4 linked regions of the Caenorhabditis elegans genome follow. The protein of the gene in region 3 interacts with the protein of the main gene of each other region in a pairwise test. Each region holds a gene or a part of one and is shown on either strand. Other genes may lie near its edges.

Region 1 (4,757 bases), on a different chromosome or scaffold from region 3:
ATGTCTAGATAGTTTGATACGAATAACGATTTAGAAAAATCTATTAAATATTAAAATTAACCCAAACTTTTCAAATCTAATCGGGCAAGTTCAAGGTCTAACGTAAAAATTGAAACCTAAACTTTTGGGATACCAAGGAATCATCGTCTAAAAATTTAAGAAACATAGAAAAGATGGTAATAACACAAATTAAGTTAGCGATATAAAGATTTCGGAAAAAAAGATAAAAATTTATATTTTCCGCAAAAAAAACGATTGATTCTCAAAAAAGATGCAAAATCTAGATCCGCTTCCTTCCCCCGATGCACACCCCTCAAAATAAATCAACGATTTCCTTTGAGGGGCTCAAATACCCAAAAAAGGGCTCCTCCGGAAACCGACACGAATTTGTCATCCAGAAGCGGTAGAATCTATATGTAAATGAACGGGACACAAAAAAAGCGGGCGGGCTTCACTTGGAGATGCTGAAGGATGTGCTCTTATCGGAAATCCGTTACTTTCACCGCGCCAGTGAAAACTATCGAGAAAACGACGGGAGTTAGAAAGTAGGACGATGAGAAGAAAATGACAGAAGATTTTCATGAAGATTCACATCTTTCTTCCGTTACTTTTCCGTTAGAAATCGAGATTTATTTTCGAATATTCGCCTGTGTAAGACCGACAAAACCGGTTTGAAATTTTTTAACGCTGATCTCAACAACTCAAAAATTAAAGGTATACTCAATCTGCTTTTTAGAAATTGTTTTATGTGTAATTCAAACATCCTTCTATGTATAGCAACACAGAACTTCAAATCATAGAAAAAATTCCGGAAAATTACAGTTTTTGCAACTTGTTCAGTTATCGTTCCAATTTCAAAGGTGAGAAAAATCATACCTTTTTAGCATGCTCTTTTTCTTGTTTCTTTCAAGGGTCATACTCACCGATCTTCATCTTTTAACAAAATTAAATTCTCAAGATCATCCTGATCCTCCTCATCACACTCCTCTTCGGACAGTCTTTGTAGAAGAAGACGCTCTCCAATATTGATAATCTTACTGGTTTGTAGAAAAGTCTGAAATTTTTCTTATAGTTAGATAACTTCCTCATTAAATTTATCTAATAATCACCTTTCTATCCTCCTGCCTCATACAAATATTGGCATCTTCTCCGTCATCAGCTTCCTTAATCAGGTTCAAGATGAGAAGAGCATTCGAATCATTCGGTGTAGCCTAAAATAATAATATTTATAAAATTAATGTAAGTGATTGTTTTTAGTACTTTTTCTAAATGATGAGTGTAGAATCTAGGATCTACATAAATCGTAGTAAAAAAATGTATGCCTGCCTGAAAGGTGACCTTCGACGGCCTCGTGATAACATGGATTAAAGAAACGATTGGCACGCTGGGTAGGTTTCTCTATGACCGCTTGTAAGACAACGGTGATGTCTCTTCGGACTTAATTTTACAAAAAATGGACACGAATAGTTATAAAAAATTAAAGTTTCAAGAATCCCTGTATTTGGCGATGCGTTCTTCAAAACTGCATATCCAAATTTTAAGTTTTCACTTCATTTGATATATTGCGGACTGGAAAAAGATGACGTCACGCGCGTCACACCGTGTGACACCAGTTACAAGACTGCATTATTTTTCCTGCAATCTCTGTATATTTTCCCACAGATCTTCGCAGAAACAGTTTAGTACCTCAACAAGGGTTTTGTTGGGCGTACTGGGTTTCCTCCCTCAATTATTTCACAAATCGCACACATTCTAAACTCATTCTCGAAAAAATCTTATTTCATTTCGGCCAACTCACCACTCTCTGTGCTCCGTGAGCTTCAGCCCAAAAACCCATCAATATCTAATAAGAAGAAGCAGGAGCTGTCGCTCTCTCTATCGCTTCTGGAATCTAATTTTCCCACTGTGAGAGCAGGTGGTTTGCCTTCACCAAGCAACCATAAGCAATCAGTGGCTCTCTCGCAAAAGATGATGAACTTTTTCTTCAGTGGCTTCTGATTCTGAGTGACTGCCGCTTGATGTGGTGTGCGTGCGTGATAAGCCAATCAGTGTGAGAGACCCGTCGCCGGCTCTAGATGATAAACAACTGGGGGAAATACACTAATTCAATGATGGAATTGTGACGAAGTTGGATAACGACGACAGCTACAGTAGGAAATTGACGGCTTGATCAACGGATTCAATCCCTCTCCTTTATTGATAGAGCTCCTCAAATTCTTCTTCCTATGGAAACCTAGCAATTATCCATTTTCCCATCAGCGACTGTATTCATCAATTACAGTCGATCATCGAGTCTCTTTTCCCATCTCGGATCCCCCATCCACCAAGGCACCAGGTGTTCCGATTTGTAAATCCTAATGTAATGGTTACTAGTGTGCCCCCAAGGTTAACAAAGTGGTAATGGACGGGGGGAGCGGGAAAGGTGGAAAGACAGGTGTAAGGAATTTTTGAGGAGAAGAAGCAGGGAGGAACACATGGCGCCAAACATTTCAGGGTCCCGATAATTGCGGTTTTGGGTTCTGGGAAGAATTTGTAATTCGAACGTTGAATCATTAGGAAAGGATTTGAAAATGTTGGCGAAGGTACTGTAGATTAGGTAGATTAGGCACCAAGGTATCAATTTAAAATGCTTGTAAAAATATTTTAAAAAAAGTTTTGTTAATTTAAAAAAGTCATTATTTTATCAATTACAACCTAAAATTACTGTTATCATATAACTACTAACTAACAAAATATGAGTGTAACATCTGAAAGCTTATTTCATAGGTTACTCAAGCTATAAGATATTTCAGTTCAAGCGACCTGTATTTTTTCCGGTGGAGTTTTTTAGACGCCCGGGAATAAGCTTATACTTCTTTTTCTAGCGGACACCTCTAAGACAATGTCTACGGCGTAAAAATTGTACACCAAAAGCTCACCTTATCAATCACACCGATGGTCCTTCCGAGTGCAATTTGAGTTACTGCAATGAGCACATTTCCATGTAGCTCATCCTCCTTTACCTCAACACTCGTGAGGAAGTCTGTGTCGATGCTCATCCTGAAAACTTAGGAAACTGTACGTGGGAAGAAACAAGAACTGTACAAATTACAAGAACAGTTTTGGGGCGAAAGATGAGTAATACATCTTGTGAACGAGAACAATGCAACGAAAAAGTTGGATATGGCTGTTCAAGGCTGGCTTTGTCATTGAGAACGAACAGGGAGGAGGAATGGTACGGTAGATGTACGAATTTGGGATAGGAGTTAGGAGTAAGCTGAGAGATATTGGAGGGAGGTGTAGTTTGGGAAGAGATTATTATTTTATTGAATTTTTTAGTAGATGGTGAAAAAGTTTACAAGCCCAATTCATTTGGTAGATGAACTGTAGGAAATTCGTTTGAGATTTTTCATGACAAATTTGCTAGTCAGTTTTAAAATCAAGAAATTCTTAATTTAGAGATTATTTTTTGAGGGTTCTACACCACCACAATGTAGGATACAATTTTATTGAAAAATTGACATATGAGAAGATTGCTCTTCAAAATTTGACATTCTATATTTGATCCAAAAACTCGAATGTCTCTCCAGAAGTCATATATAGTAAAAACGTCAAGATACTTTAAGGATACTTCAACTAACCAGAAAAAAAAGAAAGGAAGATGGAAAGAGGCGCCTTCCATTTGTGGATGCGAGAGGAGCGAGAGCCTCTCCTGTCTCAAAAAGTGGGCGGGTGGAAGAGATGGAAGACGACACGCCCATCAGCCAATCGGTAGAGTGACAGGATGCTTCAGGTGAGGAGCATCTTCACTTGAAAAGTTGCAAGTTTCGAAAACCCCACGTTACTAAAGACTATTTTAATATAGAAAATTCTTAAAGTAGAATAGCAATTTTTATTTACTTTCTAACATATGTACTTCGATACTTAGAAAAATAAACAAAAGTGAAAATATCTACACCTACTAAATTAGAATCTATTGAGCATTTCTAGTAGAAGCCAAGCCGTTTATTTGTCGGCTGAATGTCTGTAATAAGTTTCCTGATATCATGAGGTGAAAGCAGAAGACAAACGTTTTTTCCAGGAGTAGGCTATCGCGAGACTCCATCGAGGTCGGCTGCGAGTTTACCGAACTGCTCAATAATCAAAGACCAACTTAAAAACTATAACAACTATTGACTTAGTTTGAATTTTTGGAAGTAAATTGCTGGACGGAAAATACAACAGGGTGTAGCAGTTTGCCGCAGCTTTGAAATTATACATTTGAGGACAGTCTAGAACCATCCAAAAAATCAGTGACCCCAGAGTTTCCAGTAAAAGCGAGCAAATGGGAGCTATTTTAAAGTAGAGGTGTGCCCCTCCACCAATTGTGGTCTTCTTCTGACGGATGTGCTGCGCTTTTCTTCTTCATGGTCCTCATCTTTTTGGAAGAAGGGACGGGACAAAATTGCCGCTTCTTTTCTTCTATTCTTTCCGTTTTTCTTCTCCTCATAGCTCCAGGTGAGCGCACCGAGAAGAGCTTTTATATAGGAGTAATAAAAGGTGGGCTCGTCCATTCTACAGAAAAATAGAAGAATGGAAAAGTTGTGAGGAAAATGGAAAAAAAGTTAGAGACATTCAAGTGATACAGTATTAAAAGTGTCATAAGTGTAGAAAGAAAACGGTCACATTTTGAAATGAAGAATTGTTGAACAAGAGTAAAATATTTCGAAAACCTTGAAAATTTAAAGTTATGGTGCTCATCACTTGACACATGATGTGCCATTAGAACTGATAATAAT
Region 2 (3,511 bases), on a different chromosome or scaffold from region 3:
ATAGATATTCGGAATCAGGGGAAAATTTAGGGTGAATTAAAAATATTTCCAAGATTCAAGTTTTTTTGGTTAGACCCTTATTAATTTTTGCGTGCTGACGTCACAATTTTTCTGGAAAAATATTCCCGCATTTTTCGTAGATCAAACCGCAATGAGACAGCCTGACACCACGTGTATCGGTTTATTTTTAAGATACCACATGGAAATTGACAAATTCTCGATTCACCATGACTAAAACTAGAATATTAATAAAATTTTAGCTATAAGTATTTGTCTGTTGCTTCTCGACAAAGCTGTAGAAAAAGTTTCGAAAAATTGAATTTTTGAATTTGAATTTTTGATTTTTTTGATCCCAAGTTTTTTTCCAGTTCGTTCCAGTAATAATTATATATATATCTAGGCAAATAAATCTCCCCTCGCTTGAAATAAAAAAAAATAAACTCAAGACATATCAAATAAGCAATCAACTTTCATGTCCGCTATATAAGGTCTGAAACATTTATGGAAAAAGTTTGTTTGCCACAAAGATTTATTCGTTGACATTTTTTAAGAATGTTCCCAAGATGGAAGTCATGAATTTATACTTTCTTGGAATAATTTTATTACCAACTGTTTTCTGATTTTTTTTTGGTTAAAAATGTCCCCCCGTCTCATTTCATTTTCCCGCTAGAATATATTTTTTCTCCTGCAACCTATAAACTTCCGATAATTGATGATATTTAAATAAAAGTGTTCAGTGATATTACGGAAAAAATGCAAAAACCTCAAACTTTCCAAAATAACGTACGACTTTTTAAAAGTAAGTAATTTACATTTAACATGCGTAGTATTATGTTTCTCTAGTTTTACATTTTCCTCAAGTTCTAATAGGAATATATCAAACTTCAAAAGAAATTTAGAGCATTTGGGAGCAATTTGGGCTCGGAAAATTTTTTTGGTTTTTTTATTGTATTTTTAAATTAAAAAAAAAAGAGCCGTGAAATTGCTCAAAAAAAAAAAGGTTTTTTTGCGTGCGGGTTGCATATCCTCATTTTAAAAGTAATTTTTTAGGCTATAAAAATATAAACTTGTGAAAGATATGTTTTTTTCTGGATTTTGTGAATTTCTGGAAATTTCTCTTTCTTTTTTTTCTACCCTTCCCTCACCCCCGCCTGAGCTTATTCTGAAGCCAACACCTAAGCCTAAGCCTAAGCCTAAGCGTAAGCCTAAGCCTAAGTCTGAGCATAAGCCTAAGCCTCAGCCTAAGCCTCAGCCTAAGCCTAAGCCTAAGCCTAAGCCTAGGCCTAAATTTAAGTGTAGCCTTAAGTCTAGACCTAAGCCTAAGCCTAACAATAAGCTTATACTCAGTAGACATCCTTACAAAATTAATTCGATTTCCATGAAAAATTGTAGATCAACCTTGCTGGTCTATTCAAAAGGTTTTTTTCAAATAATTGAGGTTATATTTGAAAGTCCAAGTATTACAAATTAGCACAATAATATCACATGTGCCTCCGCTACTCCAAAATTTCAATTCAAATATTTAAGTTCAAGAAAAGTATTTAATAGTCAAGTATGAGAAACTCATTCCCTCAATTGCATCAAGTATCATCCCTTACCACCAATCCTCCTCTCCCCCTCCTCCTTCTCGAAATCCGGTCTCTTATTCAATTTGCTGGCTCATGCTCTTTTTGTCATCATCTCAGAACTCACCCATCTTCTTCTTCTTTCCACACCAATTGCGCAATCATTGTCGACCACTTTGGCAAATTGTCGTCGTCGTCAACCGTCAAAAGTCCCCCGAGAGTCCAGAATTTCAATTATTTGATTGAAGAGAAGGCGGGGACCTCGAGACCTACTGTATAGAGAAGTCTCTCAGAAGTTCTTTTCATTCGTGCAAAATGGAAACTGACTTGCTCTTCCAACTACTTCAACCCTATTTTGCACTGTTGACGTCTGATGTGAAGCCTCAGAGAAGAACTAGTCACCTGATAAAGGATATACTTGACTTACCAACTGTTAATGGAGAAATTGATGAATTTGGAAGATGCAGTAAGTTGATTTCTTTGGATTAGGTGTATGAAGTTTTGTAGTTGAAAAATAGACTAGTTTTGGGCATGGTGCATTTGAGGTGAAATACTATTCTTTTTGACATGGTGCATCGATTCGTATTTTCTGTAATAGTATTTCACTGGCCTTTTTTTGAGTAAAAATTACAAAAATTACAAGACACAATTTTTATTTCCTTTACTCTCAATTTTTGTTTTAAAATATTAGAAAATCTGAAAAAAATTAAAATGTTTTCGAAATTTTGGAAAAAAAATTTTTTGGAAATTTACTAATTTTGTTCAATGAATTTCGGAAAAATGCTACACGTAGAAAAATAATCAGCCGTTAAGAATATTTTTTCAGAATCCAGCCTCGACCAAGCCAAAGAGTCTCCTATAGAAAAATGTCAAAAAACAAAGAGAAAGAAGGCGCGGACGACATTTTCCGGGAAACAAGTATTCGAACTGGAGAAGCAGTTTGAGGCGAAAAAGTATTTGTCAAGTAGTGACAGAAGTGAGCTTGCAAAACGATTGGATGTCACGGAGACGCAGGTAGGCACGCAGCGCGGCACGCAACGCGGCACGCAACGCAGCCCGCAACGCAGCACGCAACGCGGCACGCAACGCGGCACGCAACGCAGCACGCAACGCAGCACGTAACGCGGCACTCAACGCATAGCTGAAATTTCTCAAATTCCAGGTGAAAATCTGGTTCCAAAACCGGCGTACCAAGTGGAAGAAGATCGAATCGGAAAAGGAAAGATCTGGAGAAATACCGGATGATCAGATTGTGAAGCCGCAATAATTTTATGTTGTTTTTATTTTTCAAAGAAAAAGTCGTGATATATCCCCTTCTATGAAATCCCGTGAACAATTAGTATTTCCAGTATCTTTTTTTCAAAATCAAGATCTCTTCCTTTACCTTGATCTCCATTCTTCTAATAAATAATTATTGCAAAAATATTTACTCGCTCTATTGATAGCTATATTGTGTACTCCACGTGGATATTTTTATTGAGGGTGCTCTTTCTTTTATGTCTCACACGTTAAAAATTAAAGATTACACGATAAAACATTTTATTGCAGACCCGATAAGTACGTCAAATTACACACACAAACACAATTTCCTACAGTCTAGGCAGTCATATATTTCGAGCAGTCAACACTGTTCTTAGTTGTTCTGAAGAATGGGCACTTGGTGTCTGGGCAGTTTAGTGGAATGGTAGGATCTGACAGATTGACTTGATGGTTCTTGGATCCGACTGGTTGAACGATATTGTTCCACAAGTGCTTGGCAACATTGGCGTGGCCTAGTTTTGAGAAATGGAAGCAATCCGGTGCAAACCAATCCAGATTGACTTCTCCGTCGGGCTTGAGTGGTGGAACTGTGATTCCATTGAAGAATGGTTGAACGACAAATGTAAAGTCATCTGTTGAGTCGAAGATTCCCGAGTCTTGAATCTCCTGCTGAGCATCCATGTAAA
Region 3 (7,776 bases):
TAAAAAAAATATGGCAAAAACTGGAAACTTCGCCAACCGTGTTTCTCAATCATGTTCTGTCAGATAACTGACGAAAGGCACCTGCAATTTGTGTTGTGATAGTTCTACTTTTTATCAATCTGCTAACAAATATAGATGCAGTTTGAAATAAAACAACAACCCATAAATAGTTCAAATGTCCTTACAAATGGCTATAAATAAAACTGATCTAGTAGTCGCTAATCTTGACAAAAATATGAGAAAGAGAGCCACTATTGTTGGTCCTGCAGAGCACAATGTTGATGCATTGGGTTCTTGGCAAGTCCCCGTGGGACACTGCCCAACTGAACCGGATTGTCCGTAGTGAGCAGCACACGACTCATAACCATATACGCTGGGCCAATGTCAATCACAGACTGCCTGCCAATCCATTTAGCCGTTTTCCTAGCCACCATGACTTTTTTCTAGTATTCTATTCTCCAGTATGTTTTCAACAAAATTTATTTTGAAATGGGAAGAAAATTGATGGGACAGTGGGACAGAGAGAAAGCTTGATAAAATTACTATTCTAATCGGAAAGAAATGTTTGGGATGGGTGGAACAGATAAGGAGGCCTTCAAAAATTCTGAATATCAGTTGAAGTTCACTAGTTTAAAATACATTCGAAGAAATCATTGAAATTGTACAAATTTTGATGAGGGGTGGTGGTGAGAAAGGAAAATAAAACACTAACAACAAAAACCTAACAATGCAAGGTTACGGAAAAAATTAACGGGTCCAAAATGACTTTTGACACGTGTGCAAATGAATTGAAACAAGATAGAGAGCAGAATCAGGAGAAGATGAAGAAAGTTTTTAAAAATGTAAATAATGATATTTGATGGTTTAATATTGATGAGAAATAGACAAAAACACGGGGCAAATACTTTTGATAGAGACAAAGAGCTGTTGAGAATCAATGAGAAGAAGCAGAATCATTCGTTGTTTCCCTGTTATGAAGAAAGAAAGTGACAAATAAAGAGGTAATCAGAATTGACTGTGAATATGCATCGAAAAAAACCGAAGAAAACCGAAAAAAAAAACAAAAATTAAAATGTGGATGAAAGAATGGGGGTGTTTTGGATTCGCTAGACTGACTACTAAAACTGAAAGGCAATCGGGGGGATATTTCTTGGATGATGGTGAATTCAGGCGGAAGTCGTTGCTTGAGTACTATGATCGGCAAAAATGACATGAGTAGTGAACATGTACTTCTCGCCGCACTGAGTTCCGCACAATGCGCATTTGAAAGGATCACCGTCCGAGTGAAGACTTTTATGGAGCAGGTACATTGTGTTGTCGTAGAACATCATTCCGCAATGACAGCATTCCTAAAATAATTCTAGAGTTAGATGCCATTAAATGAGTAACGGTTATGAGTGTTTTGAGTATATATACAGAAAGCGCACGAATTAACGAGCTTTGCAATGAAGTTTCTAACAGAAACTTTTTAAAAAGTTTTTTTTAATCGAAATTTGAATTTTTGAAAAAACCTGCCAAATTCTAGCTAAAAACTGCAGCAGTCCGAACTTTTTTTTGAATGGTATCAGCTGCTGCGAACCGGAAAAGGCAAAGGCCGGGCTTTTAGCTAAAATTAACTCTTTTTTTTTGAAATTTTTTGAGAAGTCTCATTGCAAAATGTTCAAAATACCTAAAACCTATAGTTTTCCTTTAAATTCAAATTTCGGAAGAGAAAGTTGATAGTTCTGATAAGGTGGGTGATGTAGAGAATCCATCATCCTTCAGATTTCAAAGAAAACTTGTGACATCTACGAGAAATTGAAAACCTCCTCATCAAACTATACATGGTGTAATGTTCGGTTTTTCTATCTCTTTTTTTAGATTTTTTCTCAAATGAGAACGTTCCGAAAGTTGCAACAAATTGGCAATCATTTAATCAGTCTATGTTTTTAAGGTTGATAAAACCAAATTTTGGCATCAACAAAGAAATGGATCAAAAGTCCCAATTTTTGGAAAAAAAAACTCTGTTGACGATGCTCACAATTCTAATTGCACTTCGAAAAAAGGTAAACAAAATGGTGACATTTTCAATAACAAGTTGTTATTAGCGATAACACATACCACATTCTCCTCGTCTTCTTTTTCGGGAGTCGGTGATTTCTCTTTTTCAGTTAACGAAAGTGATGACTCATTGGCTGGCGGCGAGTGCGACTGTTCACTCGGACTTGGAGCACTGACACTCACAGAGCTTGACGTCTGCTCTGACCAGAGTTGCACCTGATCCTGCTTCACAATCGCTGCCACTGCTGGAATGTTGTGAAGAGCCTGAAATGCAAAGGTTAATTAGCGAAAGTGTGAAGGTTTCATTGATACCGGCAATGGAATATTTGGAATGTTGAGCATTGGTCTTGGGATGTTTTCTCCGAATCCATTGAACTGGTTCATTTGGTTTAGACACATCAACAAAATATCTGGGTTAGCCATAGGGAAGCTTGGTGGCTGAAAATAAAACCATGGAATCATGGAAATGCTTTTTATTCAAAAAGAAACGAAAGAAAGATTCTTACAATTTTGTCGAATTCAGAACTTGTGGAGTTATCGGAGGTGTCGGTGTTTGGAGGGCTAAACTCTGATTTCACCATTCTTTGCAACTGTTCTGTTATGCTCATGTTCGCAGGATCCATTGGCAAAGCATTTCCATTCGACAGCTTCTTCCTTTTTGGCGTGTTTTCTTTTTTCGGAGAAGACTGAAAATCAGAATGAGAAATAAGAGTTCACGTTCAGGATATCACATGATGAGAGAGATTCCACGGAAAGTGCGTCTCTTGGGGCAACCGAATTAAGCTCCGAGAACGAGAAAAACATCACCTAATAAGGCTCAGGTTCTGCTCGCTAATCATGTGTTACGTTTCCGTGTAATCTGAAGTTACATCTCTTACCTCAGAATCGTCATGTCTTGTCTGGAAATGAAGGAGAAGACGTCGCGAATTGGCGAACATCAAATTACATCGCTTACATGACGCGGGATTTGTTGACGAAATTGTGTGCGTTTCTTCCAAGTGTGCTCGGAGTGCATTGTGCTGACTAAACTGCATGTTACATTGTGATACTGGACAGTCGAAACCAAAACCCGTTTTGATATGTGTCATTGAATGCTCTTGCATCTGAAAGTTATAGGTTTATTTTAAGTTACATGTTTAAAACATGACTACGGTATGTTTTTAACATCTAAAAATCGGTTTTCACTTTCACACAATATTACAATTTACAATTTTCTCTGGTTTTCTCCTCGCCCCGCAACCTTTGTCTTTCATTATAAAAACCCCTTTTGATGCGAGCGAGGGTGATGGCTTTCAACTTTTCGGGAACCAATCAGAGACGCAGCTAGAACAAAAAAAAAACCGCCGACGGTTGGTATTTCTTCTTTTTTTTACTGATTGGCCCTGGGGGTAAGGTACACAGTAAAGAGCGGCAAAAATATGGAGACATCGAGAAGATGCTAGAAGGTAGGATGGGAGGTAGGATCTTCCGAAGAAAATGCGCGTGCTATCGTCAAGGTCTTTTACTTCTCATCTTCACCAACGTCGTCGGATAGTATGAAGAATCGGAGAAGAAAGACGCGCCAACCGTTTTCATATTCGACGGCATAACCTGACACCAATACCGTCAAATTGGTTCCCCCCGATTTTCCTGTTTTCTTCAGGCTCGTCGACCTTCAAGAACGGTTTTGGGCAAACAGATATCATCAGAGCGCTTGAAGAAATGGTTGATGGGCACTGCGGCAGTTCCCTGCCATCCATGGAAGAGACTCTTCTTATTTCCGGGAAAGTGAAAATATCCAAATTGAAAACGACCTTCAGGCGGCAATCCGCCGCCTCCTTCTTCCCTCAATTTCCCTTTCCTTACGGGAGATCAGTTTCACTTTCCATTTGATTACGTAAATTGAAGATAAAACACGATTTTTGAGTTACGGAAGGCGGCAGCGGCTTCTTACGCAACAGCCGTTAAATGGTGGGGCTAGGAGGTGGAGGGTAATAAAAAATATGCCAGACAAGCATACCTGATCTTTCCTGAAAAATCGTTTTTTGCAAAAACGACACTCGTATGGCTTCACACCGCTGTGGCGCATCCGATGACGATGCATGTTAGCCTGAAAACGCAACATTGATAAACCACAGGAAGAAAGTGAAAAGGGAATCAAAGAAGAAGATCAATCAGCACGATAACCATACTTGGAAAATCCAAATGATTCAAAAGTTGTCGAGTGTTTGAAAACCAGATTCCGATTCAGAAAATGTTTTAAAAATTGCTCACCTTCTGGCTGAACTGCATTTTACAGATGTCGCATTGGTACATTTGGCCTTGATGGCGTTCATGCGCTTCCTGAAATGTTCAAGAATCTTCACTGGTATGTCATGTGATTTCTAAGGTCATCACGTTTTTTGTACTGCCCCCGTATCTGGTCTTCCCGTTTCTTTTTCCAAAAACGCCTCTTTTTCCTCCCATCTTCTTCCACCCATCCCAATCTCTACCGCTTGATGTCACTACATAACCGAAAAAGGGAAAATCTATGTTTTTTTTGGTTTGGTTTCTCGGAAGATTCTGCCTTAACCAATTAGTATGACACCGGCTCACATGAAAGGCAACATCCTTAAGAAGAAAAGCCAATATATGAGGAGCCTGCCTCCTTCTCCCATACCACTCCACTACTACTCATCCCGATGACCGTTCGGGAAGTGATGGGATTGGCCGTCGGAACAAAAAACAGTAGGGTCAAGTGAGAGACGCAGTTAACTGGACAGTAGATAGAAAGTAAACAGTAGTTTGTGAGAAAAGCGGCATGGAGCGAGTGGGAGAAGAGAAAAGGTTCACGGAGTGTTGACTTACAGGACCCACCTTACAAGGAATTGATGAAAAGTGGAAAAGAGGGAAATTGAAAAGACTTTCATATCCATCAACAGATTTACATGCTAAAATTAATTTGTACCCTTGGGAACATGCGTAATAATGTACTGAAAGTATCTTTCACTCTTCCGTCACCTATAGAACAAGAGAATGCTTTCAAGAAAACGGGTAAAAATCCTTGAACCTACCAAGTGGCTTTTCATGTGTTGCGACATACAAGTGGTGAAATTACAGTGCGGGCAAACGTGAACCGTCTTTTGTCCTTTGGTGCCTGGTTCTTCTGAAATTTTTAGGTTTCACAATTGCATATTGGTACTTGGTAATTAACCATCAATAGAAATACATTCCAGTGTGTAAGAAAATGCAATTCAAAGAAAACTTACTTTTGATGAGAGTGTTTGTGATTTCTGTTATCGAAATGTGATGTTCAAGATGTTCATCCGAGTCCGGACTCGGCGTTGGATCTGAAGGGGGCGTGGACCGTGGCGACGGCGTGGACGACTGAATACCATCTCCCCACTCGATTGTCTGAAAAGCCTTGGTCTCAATGTTTCTAACGAGTCTCAGGGGGCATGTCTGGAAGACGTGTTACAACGTCACATCCAACATCCCTCCCCTCTTCATTTTTTCCACGTTCTGTTGTTCCCTCACATATCTTCTCTACCTCTGGCACTAATTAGGCAAATATGGCATTATGACGCAACCTTTTTTCTATATCTCTCACTCACACGCTCTCACTCTTCTGGATGAATTTTACTCTCCCATAACATACCTGCGAGTTAGACATTTCTCCGCTTGAAGACCTGCTGTGCTCGTTTTCGTGCTTCTCTGCAAAAAAAAAGTATTAGGGGGTAATGTTGCTAAATGTGAAACGCAATAGAAGCGGGTTAGTTAATGGGTTGAAGCGCTCACTAAACCGCTACAAATCCGAATTTTTACGGGTTTGTCTCCGTTCTAAGATGAAAAAAAGATGGACAAAGCGCGGGTAGGTGGATGTTTCAAACGAATTGGCATTCATGTATCACCGAACAGGTTGGTTACCTATATGTCCTTGAAACTCGGAAAATACAGTAGTCGTGAATCCGCATTCTGTGCAAGCGTTCAGTTCATCCATTGTTGAGATCACTGAAATGATAACCATAGCAAAATGAAAAACCCTGACAGGGAATATCTGGTAATGAGACGAAAATGGGCGACAAAAAGAAGAACAACGAGGAAAAATAGGGGAAAAAAGCGAGGAATATGGCACGACGAGACTTGCACACAATAATCAGGTGTGTTTACGGATGGCAGAAGATAAGAAAGGAAATGTATAGGAAATGGTAACAGGCGGATATAGGAATATATGGGAAAATTGGAAAATGGAAATACTAAGAGTGACTGGAAAAATATGTATTATCGGAGCGAAAAAAGCGGAGGAGGGGGAAAAGGAGGAGCCGGATCCATAGGTATGATCACATTGACAAGCATTTACAACGGCTCGCCAAATTACTGGTTACGCGCCTGGATACGAATTTGGGGAGTAGGCAGTAATTTATGGATAGCCAGCTTCTTTAGCAACCACTGCGAGTTGGACTTGTTATGAGTGTGTTTGATTTAGCGAGAGCCTGGTCCACGGTTTTGAGAGCAGCTAGGTGACCTCGCCTAGTTGTTTGTCGTCTCGCGGCGGCGGAGGCGAAGAAGGACCGAGATACGGTTTCCGGGTTTGGCCAAACATCTCAACCCGATGCCTCCCCGTGTACTCCATAAGCTGCTTCTCCGGATTTGACTTGCACTCATAGCGACGAGCTACTGTGTGCTTACTATATTTGTAAGAGAAGTGGTAAAGTGTGTATTCGCTGGGCAGTAGGTATCTTACGGACCTTTACGAGGAGCAATAAGAAAAAAAAGTTGATGAACATTAAAAAAAACAGGAGGAACTAATATGGATTAATTATCGCATCCAGACATGGTGTGTAAGATACGAAACATCAAAACATATATACTATTACACAAAATTTGCATCATAAACACGAAAAAGAGATTTGATGGATTGGGTGGATAGGGTAAAAATGTTATAAAATGAAAATTTTCAATGATCAAAATCTGAAACCAGCACAAAAATAAGATTCAGGAACCTGAGAAAAAAGAACAGGATCTCAAGGAAGGCAAAGTAATGCCAGGTGGATTATAGCACAATTATGTTGATGATTGCATGGCTGTGTGTCTATACTGGATTACTGTCAATTGCGCGTAACCACCACTACAAGTTCGAGACTAGCAGGAAGGTGGTCTAGATGGACAGATGGTGCTAACAGGTAATTGAGATGGGTGAAGTGACTGGAGAGCAAACTCGCATCTAGTATGACGTTACGTTTGCGGAGGAGAACGGTAAGATTGCGATACATAAATCTAGGTTCTATGTTTTAGGTTCTAGGATAGGAAGAGAAATTTGGGGTGTGAGGAATGGTGGGGAGCAAATATGGAGTGAAGGAATCTCTGGGGGTGGGGCACCGCAGGCATTGGATACGGTAGAACTAAAAGTGCAAAAGCTGGCAAACTGATATGGGGCGGATTACACCTGGGGGTGGCAGGGCGGAAAAACGACTTTACGCGGATGGCAATGAAAAAATGAGATGGCGGGGATCGAGGGGGGGAGGAGGTGACGGTTTCTGAATGGCATTTACAAGAAGAGAGAAAGGGGGTGAGATAGTGCGTGTGTCGCGGGGTGCCAAACAAGCTTTTTTGGGAATACGATGAAGAAAAAAGAAGAAAAACGATGTAGAAGAAGAAACTGTCGATGGCAGCAGCAGCGGCAGTGGCGGCAGGCAGCAACGGGCATCATCTCTATCTGTCGCCCGGGGGCGCAAGATGTAAAGAAAAAATCGAGCTGCGCGCACCTCATCAGAAAAA
Region 4 (4,579 bases), on a different chromosome or scaffold from region 3:
CATTAATCTCAATCTGAATACTCTTCTTCCTCTTATTCTCCATTTTGTAACTCGTTCTCATAAATTTTATTTCAATTCCTACTCTTCCAATGGTAGTCACCAGGCGCCAGTCCACTCACTTCAAAAGAGAAAATAAAATTGATCGCGTTGTCAGATTATTTTCAGAAACGCTGAGGAATTGATTGATTTTCAATTTTTGGCGGGAAATGACAGAAGTTTCAAACCAGTGGGAGGCGCCAAAAGGGTGTTAGAACTTTTGAATTAAAAAAAAACAGATGAAATAAAAAAAAACTTTCAAGAAATTTAAATTCCACATGGACCCGAAATGTTTCAAGAACTAATTGTCTCTGAGCACCTGTTTATTTTTCAAAATGGTTTGTTTTCAGAAATTAAATTCGATTAGCAAAAGTTAACCAAATCGGTCTCAGCGCTTTGCAGAAACTAGAATTATTTGAAGGTTGTCAAAAGTGCGGCAAATAAAAAATTGTGACTTTCTATAAATCTGTGAGCATTCCTTTATTTTAATTATCCCGAATCACACACTATTTTAGTTATTAAAATTTTACACAAATTTAATTTTTGCCAATAGAGGAGCTTCCTAACTATAACGCTCCAACTCTTGCTTAAAGTATGGTGACGTTCAGAGAACTTAAAAAGATTACGAAATTCGAAATTGCTGAACTTTTCTAAAATATCATTTCATCTACTTAAATTTGTAGTGTTTTTTTTTTAAATATAATACTGTTTTAAAAATTACCTTTAAAGTTTCGTAACTAACCTGATCTCCGAGTATTGGATATTGAGGACCTCCCAGTCCTTGACTTGAGGCAAAATATGAAGCAATTTGAGAAGAACTAGTCGGATCATAATAACTTCCAAAATGAGCAGAAAGTGCAGCAGACGCTGTCATTGGATCATATCCAATTGTACTCGATAATTCAGAAGATGATGGAATTCCAGATGCACCCACAGAAGATGTGGATGATGATGAAGAAGATGAGGATGAAGACGAAGAGCTTGATTCAGGAGCTGTAGCTCTCGGTGCATCTGTGGATGACGGTGATGTTGATGTGGTCATCTGGAGTGAAAACGAGTGAAAGTGATTGATAAGAATTGATTGAAAAGAGATGAAAAGATGAGGGGAGGGAGGGGAAACGAGGTGATATAATAAATGAGGACGAGAGGCGCGTCGGGGCGGTTGAACATTTGTTAAAAATGTGACGTCTCCCTCTTTCTCCTCTTTTCTTCCATTGCAAAAGAGACAGAATACCGGGCGCCATCCTTCCCCGATCCCGCCCATTTCTCCTATTGGACGAAGGGTGGAGTCTCAGAAAGCGGAAGGGATGAGGGAATAGAATAAGAGGACGATAGAGATGAATGCAGTAGTTAAAAAAAGAGATCAAATTTTTTTCATTGAAGTAGATCATTCAGATATTCCTAAAGTCTACATATCTTCAAAAACCGAATAACTAGTAGAATAGGTATTTAAATTTGAACAATTGTAGTGAGAGCAAGAAAACTAACAATTTGTGCTGCTAGTCTAGAATTCAGAGATACGTGTACAATCGCAATCAATGACCGGATCAATATCTCCCAAGAGCCCAAATTTTCAACACAAAAGTTAAATACGATGATTCAGTTCTTAAAATTTTGAAGAACTTTCAGCAACCATCAATTTCTTTTACAGGTGATCAGAGCTTTAAAATTTATTAAAATTCCTGGGCACATATAATTGAAACCAATAAATTTCAGAACACGAATTAGCAATAATTACCGTTTGATAGATTTTAAATTTTAATTTAAGAACCTTGTTTTTTTTAATTACTGCATTCATCAAAAGGAATTAGATCAACCTATCAACTACTTGTACCTAATCCTTAGGAAATCATTAAAACTAGGAAAACAACAAAAGCTTAAGAACGGAAACAGAACAAAAAGAGAAGAAAAGTAAAGAGTTGGAAATGGAGAGAGAAAAGATGATGGTGATAAATTGAGGAGCAATCTGCGAGAGACGAATTGTTTTTGTGGGTGTGCTCAAGTGGGTGGTCATGGTTTAAGACCCGCGGGTTTTACCTTATAAGATTGGATAATTGCTCTAAATAGCTTTATATAAACTAGTAAGCAATCTATGAGGTCAAGAAGAAGTATGGACTAGAAGTCTTTATGTGTTTTCTCTGTAGGCCTAAGCTCTGAAATGTTACCTAACACTATTCCACACATTCTCCATGTCTTGAATATTTATGTGACTACTGATTACAAAATGAAATTTCAGAAATATTGAGGCTGTGGGCAATCCTCGAAATTTGACGAACTCAGCAATTTCGGTAGATTTGTCGCACACACCTGACAATGAAGCTTTTAAGTTGGATAATTTAAAGTTGTGATAATAGCTTTTTTAAAGTAAGATTACATTTTGTTTTCTTCTATGATTCACAAATTAAACGAGGGTGAGATTCAATTTATTTAAATGATCGGCAGAATAACGGGAACACGGTAAAAAGGCGCCTTCGCAACGCCTCATAAAGTGCAACATCTAATCTGGGCTCATTTCTTCCAGATATGTTTTCAATTTTTCAATGGTATATTCTCCAATAATGCAACATAAAATGTTTTTTCGGAACGCAGGTAATTTGAATAAATTCCTACAACAAAAAAAAAACAGCAGAAGCCAAAGCCGAGTATCTAAAAATGTTTCAAATACTGAAATTTAGTCGATAACTTTGCGAAAATATAAGAGGGTTCCGAAATAAACTAGATTTTAAACGTTTTCTGCCACAAAGGTGGAAAATTGATATTTGAAGTACATAACTTGCAAAATTTAAAGACTACGTTTTAAATAGTAGAGAATTTTCCTATAACTTTTTCAGGTGACCTCTAGGTTCAACTTATTTAAAGTTAAGTTCCAGTTTCATTTAGAACTTTGAGAAGCTTTGTGCCAGGAGTGGATTTAAAAAAAGAGAGATTTACCTTAATTCTAGAAGGTCGTAAAAAAATGTTGCCAAAATTCTATTGTTGGTATTGCCATCGGAATTTCCTCTATCGCCCTCCCACTTCATGTCTTCTAATCCGGGCGGCACGCACAAGAAGACGCAGACGTACTGATACACGTGAAGGGTGGAGCATGCTTCTTCTCCAATCTCCCCCACTGTCGGCATAGATCAAAGAGGTTCGTGGAGCCGAGAGCACATCTCTTGCTCTCGCCTTTTCAATTCATCACTGACAGCGCTGGATGGACATGGGGTGAGAACGACAGGTACCGTAAGCTTTTGGGCTCCAAGAGTAGAAGAGTTGAGCAGAATGAATTTTCGCTTTTAAGTTGCCGCTTTTAGGAACAAAATCTTGACCAACTTTTTCCCATTGGACAAGTTGTCAAGAGTCAGTCGAAATGTGCTCAATTTTATGAACTCTCTGATTTTATAGATATGGAATTGTTACATGAAAATTGGAAAAATGGCAAAAAGGGAGAGTATCTCGGCTTTGGGCTAAAACTTGAGCAGAAATTGAGCAAGGTTTCGACAACATAGTCTAAGACAAGTATTGTCAAAGCTCTTACCAACTTTTGCCAACATCTGATAGTCCGCTTTTTGAGCCAAATGCCTGGTATGCACAAAAAGTTCAAATGACCAAAAGACGAATTTCTGTGAAATTTTAAAACGGCGTTATGGGAATTTTGAAAAACGTTGAAGTTTTTCTAGGTCATTGATCAGATTTTCTAAAAATTTAAGCTTCTAGCTATTTCTAGCTAAATTAAATGTTATCAATACTTGGTCGACACCAAACACTATTTTTTGGAATTGTCAAGATACCTAAATATAAAAGTCTACAACTGAAGCATACGCTTAATATGTTTTCAAGATTTTGCAAGGCATCTGAAATTGCTTCGAGATTTCCAGCAGTGCCTCACCTTGTTCTTAAAAGTAAAAGTTCCCGAAACTTGAGGTTTCAGAAATGCCAACTGCAACTGAATTGATTCCAACGCCTCTTACAAAATGAAAGAATAAAGTTCTAGAAGTTCCCTACTGTAAACATGCAAACAGAGATATTTAAACTATTTATAAAACTTAAAATGTGTTACTTTTGTTAACTTTGAAAGTCTTTTTTAATTTTTTGATTAAAATAAAATTTTCAAATTAACAGTACATAGAGAATTACAAATTCTCAGAGCCACAACACATGATAATGTACTATAAAAGGAAATAACCCAAACACATCACATTTTTTATTTCATTATCAGTTTTCTCAATCTATAAATGATCCAATATCCTCACACCTCTCACAGTATAGATAAGGAGATAAGAATTGCATAACACTGTGGTAATAAATAAAAAAAAAAAGTGAGTAAATGATTAGTAAGTGATTATGCAATTGACTCAAGTCTATTTCCTGTCTCTTTTACAGTGATTTATGAGTGTCAGGAAGCATCAAGAAGTGTGGAATGAATGGCATCCAATTACTCATTTGTAGGTACACGAATCAAGAAAAAATAGGTTGAAGAAGTGTAGGGATCTTCTCTCTTTTACAAATTGATGTTCGACAATTCCTCATTTTGATTTTTTTTGGTCTTCCAATCTAGTGCAAA

Evidence for each region.
Region 1: the proteins of ztf-16 (region 3) and egl-43 interact in a two-hybrid assay, tested with the Caenorhabditis elegans proteins (one large-scale study listed by BioGRID).
Region 2: the proteins of ztf-16 (region 3) and ceh-9 interact in a two-hybrid assay, tested with the Caenorhabditis elegans proteins (one large-scale study listed by BioGRID).
Region 4: the proteins of ztf-16 (region 3) and lin-39 interact in a two-hybrid assay, tested with the Caenorhabditis elegans proteins (one large-scale study listed by BioGRID).

The regions. Positions count from the first base shown.
Region 1 is NC_003280.10:9,953,467-9,958,223, reverse strand, and holds the start of egl-43 (Zinc finger protein egl-43), read right to left. Parts: upstream 3,040-4,757; 5' UTR 3,039-3,039; coding exon 2,919-3,038; intron 1,214-2,918; exon of another isoform or gene 1,212-1,213; coding exon 1,110-1,211; intron 1,055-1,109; coding exon 924-1,054; exon of another isoform or gene 877-923; intron 1-876. UniProt on the Caenorhabditis elegans protein: Probable transcription factor, required for migration of the hermaphrodite-specific motor neurons (HSNs) from the tail to the gonad primordium during HSN cell differentiation. Required for phasmid neuron development.
Region 2 is NC_003279.8:564,761-568,271, reverse strand, and holds ceh-9 (Homeobox protein ceh-9), read left to right. Parts: upstream 1-1,683; 5' UTR 1,684-1,880; coding exon 1,881-2,031; intron 2,032-2,391; coding exon 2,392-2,579; intron 2,580-2,727; coding exon 2,728-2,832; 3' UTR 2,833-2,988; downstream 2,989-3,511. Other genes in the region: Y65B4BR.1 (Lipase_GDSL domain-containing protein), read right to left, coding at 3,162-3,511.
Region 3 is NC_003284.9:4,805,528-4,813,303, forward strand, and holds ztf-16 (Zinc finger protein ztf-16), read right to left. Parts: upstream 6,014-7,776; 5' UTR 5,999-6,013; coding exon 5,926-5,998; intron 5,713-5,925; coding exon 5,657-5,712; intron 5,413-5,656; coding exon 5,268-5,412; intron 5,165-5,267; coding exon 5,073-5,164; intron 4,719-5,072; exon of another isoform or gene 4,581-4,718; intron 4,363-4,580; coding exon 4,294-4,362; intron 4,130-4,293; coding exon 4,040-4,129; intron 3,978-4,039; exon of another isoform or gene 3,837-3,977; intron 3,144-3,836; coding exon 2,919-3,143; intron 2,727-2,918; coding exon 2,547-2,726; intron 2,479-2,546; coding exon 2,353-2,478; intron 2,305-2,352; coding exon 2,101-2,304; coding exon of another isoform or gene 2,017-2,100; intron 1,350-2,016; coding exon 1,167-1,349; 3' UTR 471-1,166; downstream 1-470. UniProt on the Caenorhabditis elegans protein: Positively regulates the expression of ver-1 in the amphid sheath glia of amphid sensory neurons. Together with ehn-3, plays a role in somatic gonad development and is required for proper gonadal primordium assembly and somatic gonad precursor cell morphology.
Region 4 is NC_003281.10:7,533,623-7,538,201, forward strand, and holds the start of lin-39 (Homeobox protein lin-39), read right to left. Parts: upstream 3,011-4,579; 5' UTR 2,968-3,010; intron 1,079-2,967; coding exon 779-1,078; intron 1-778. UniProt on the Caenorhabditis elegans protein: Transcription factor.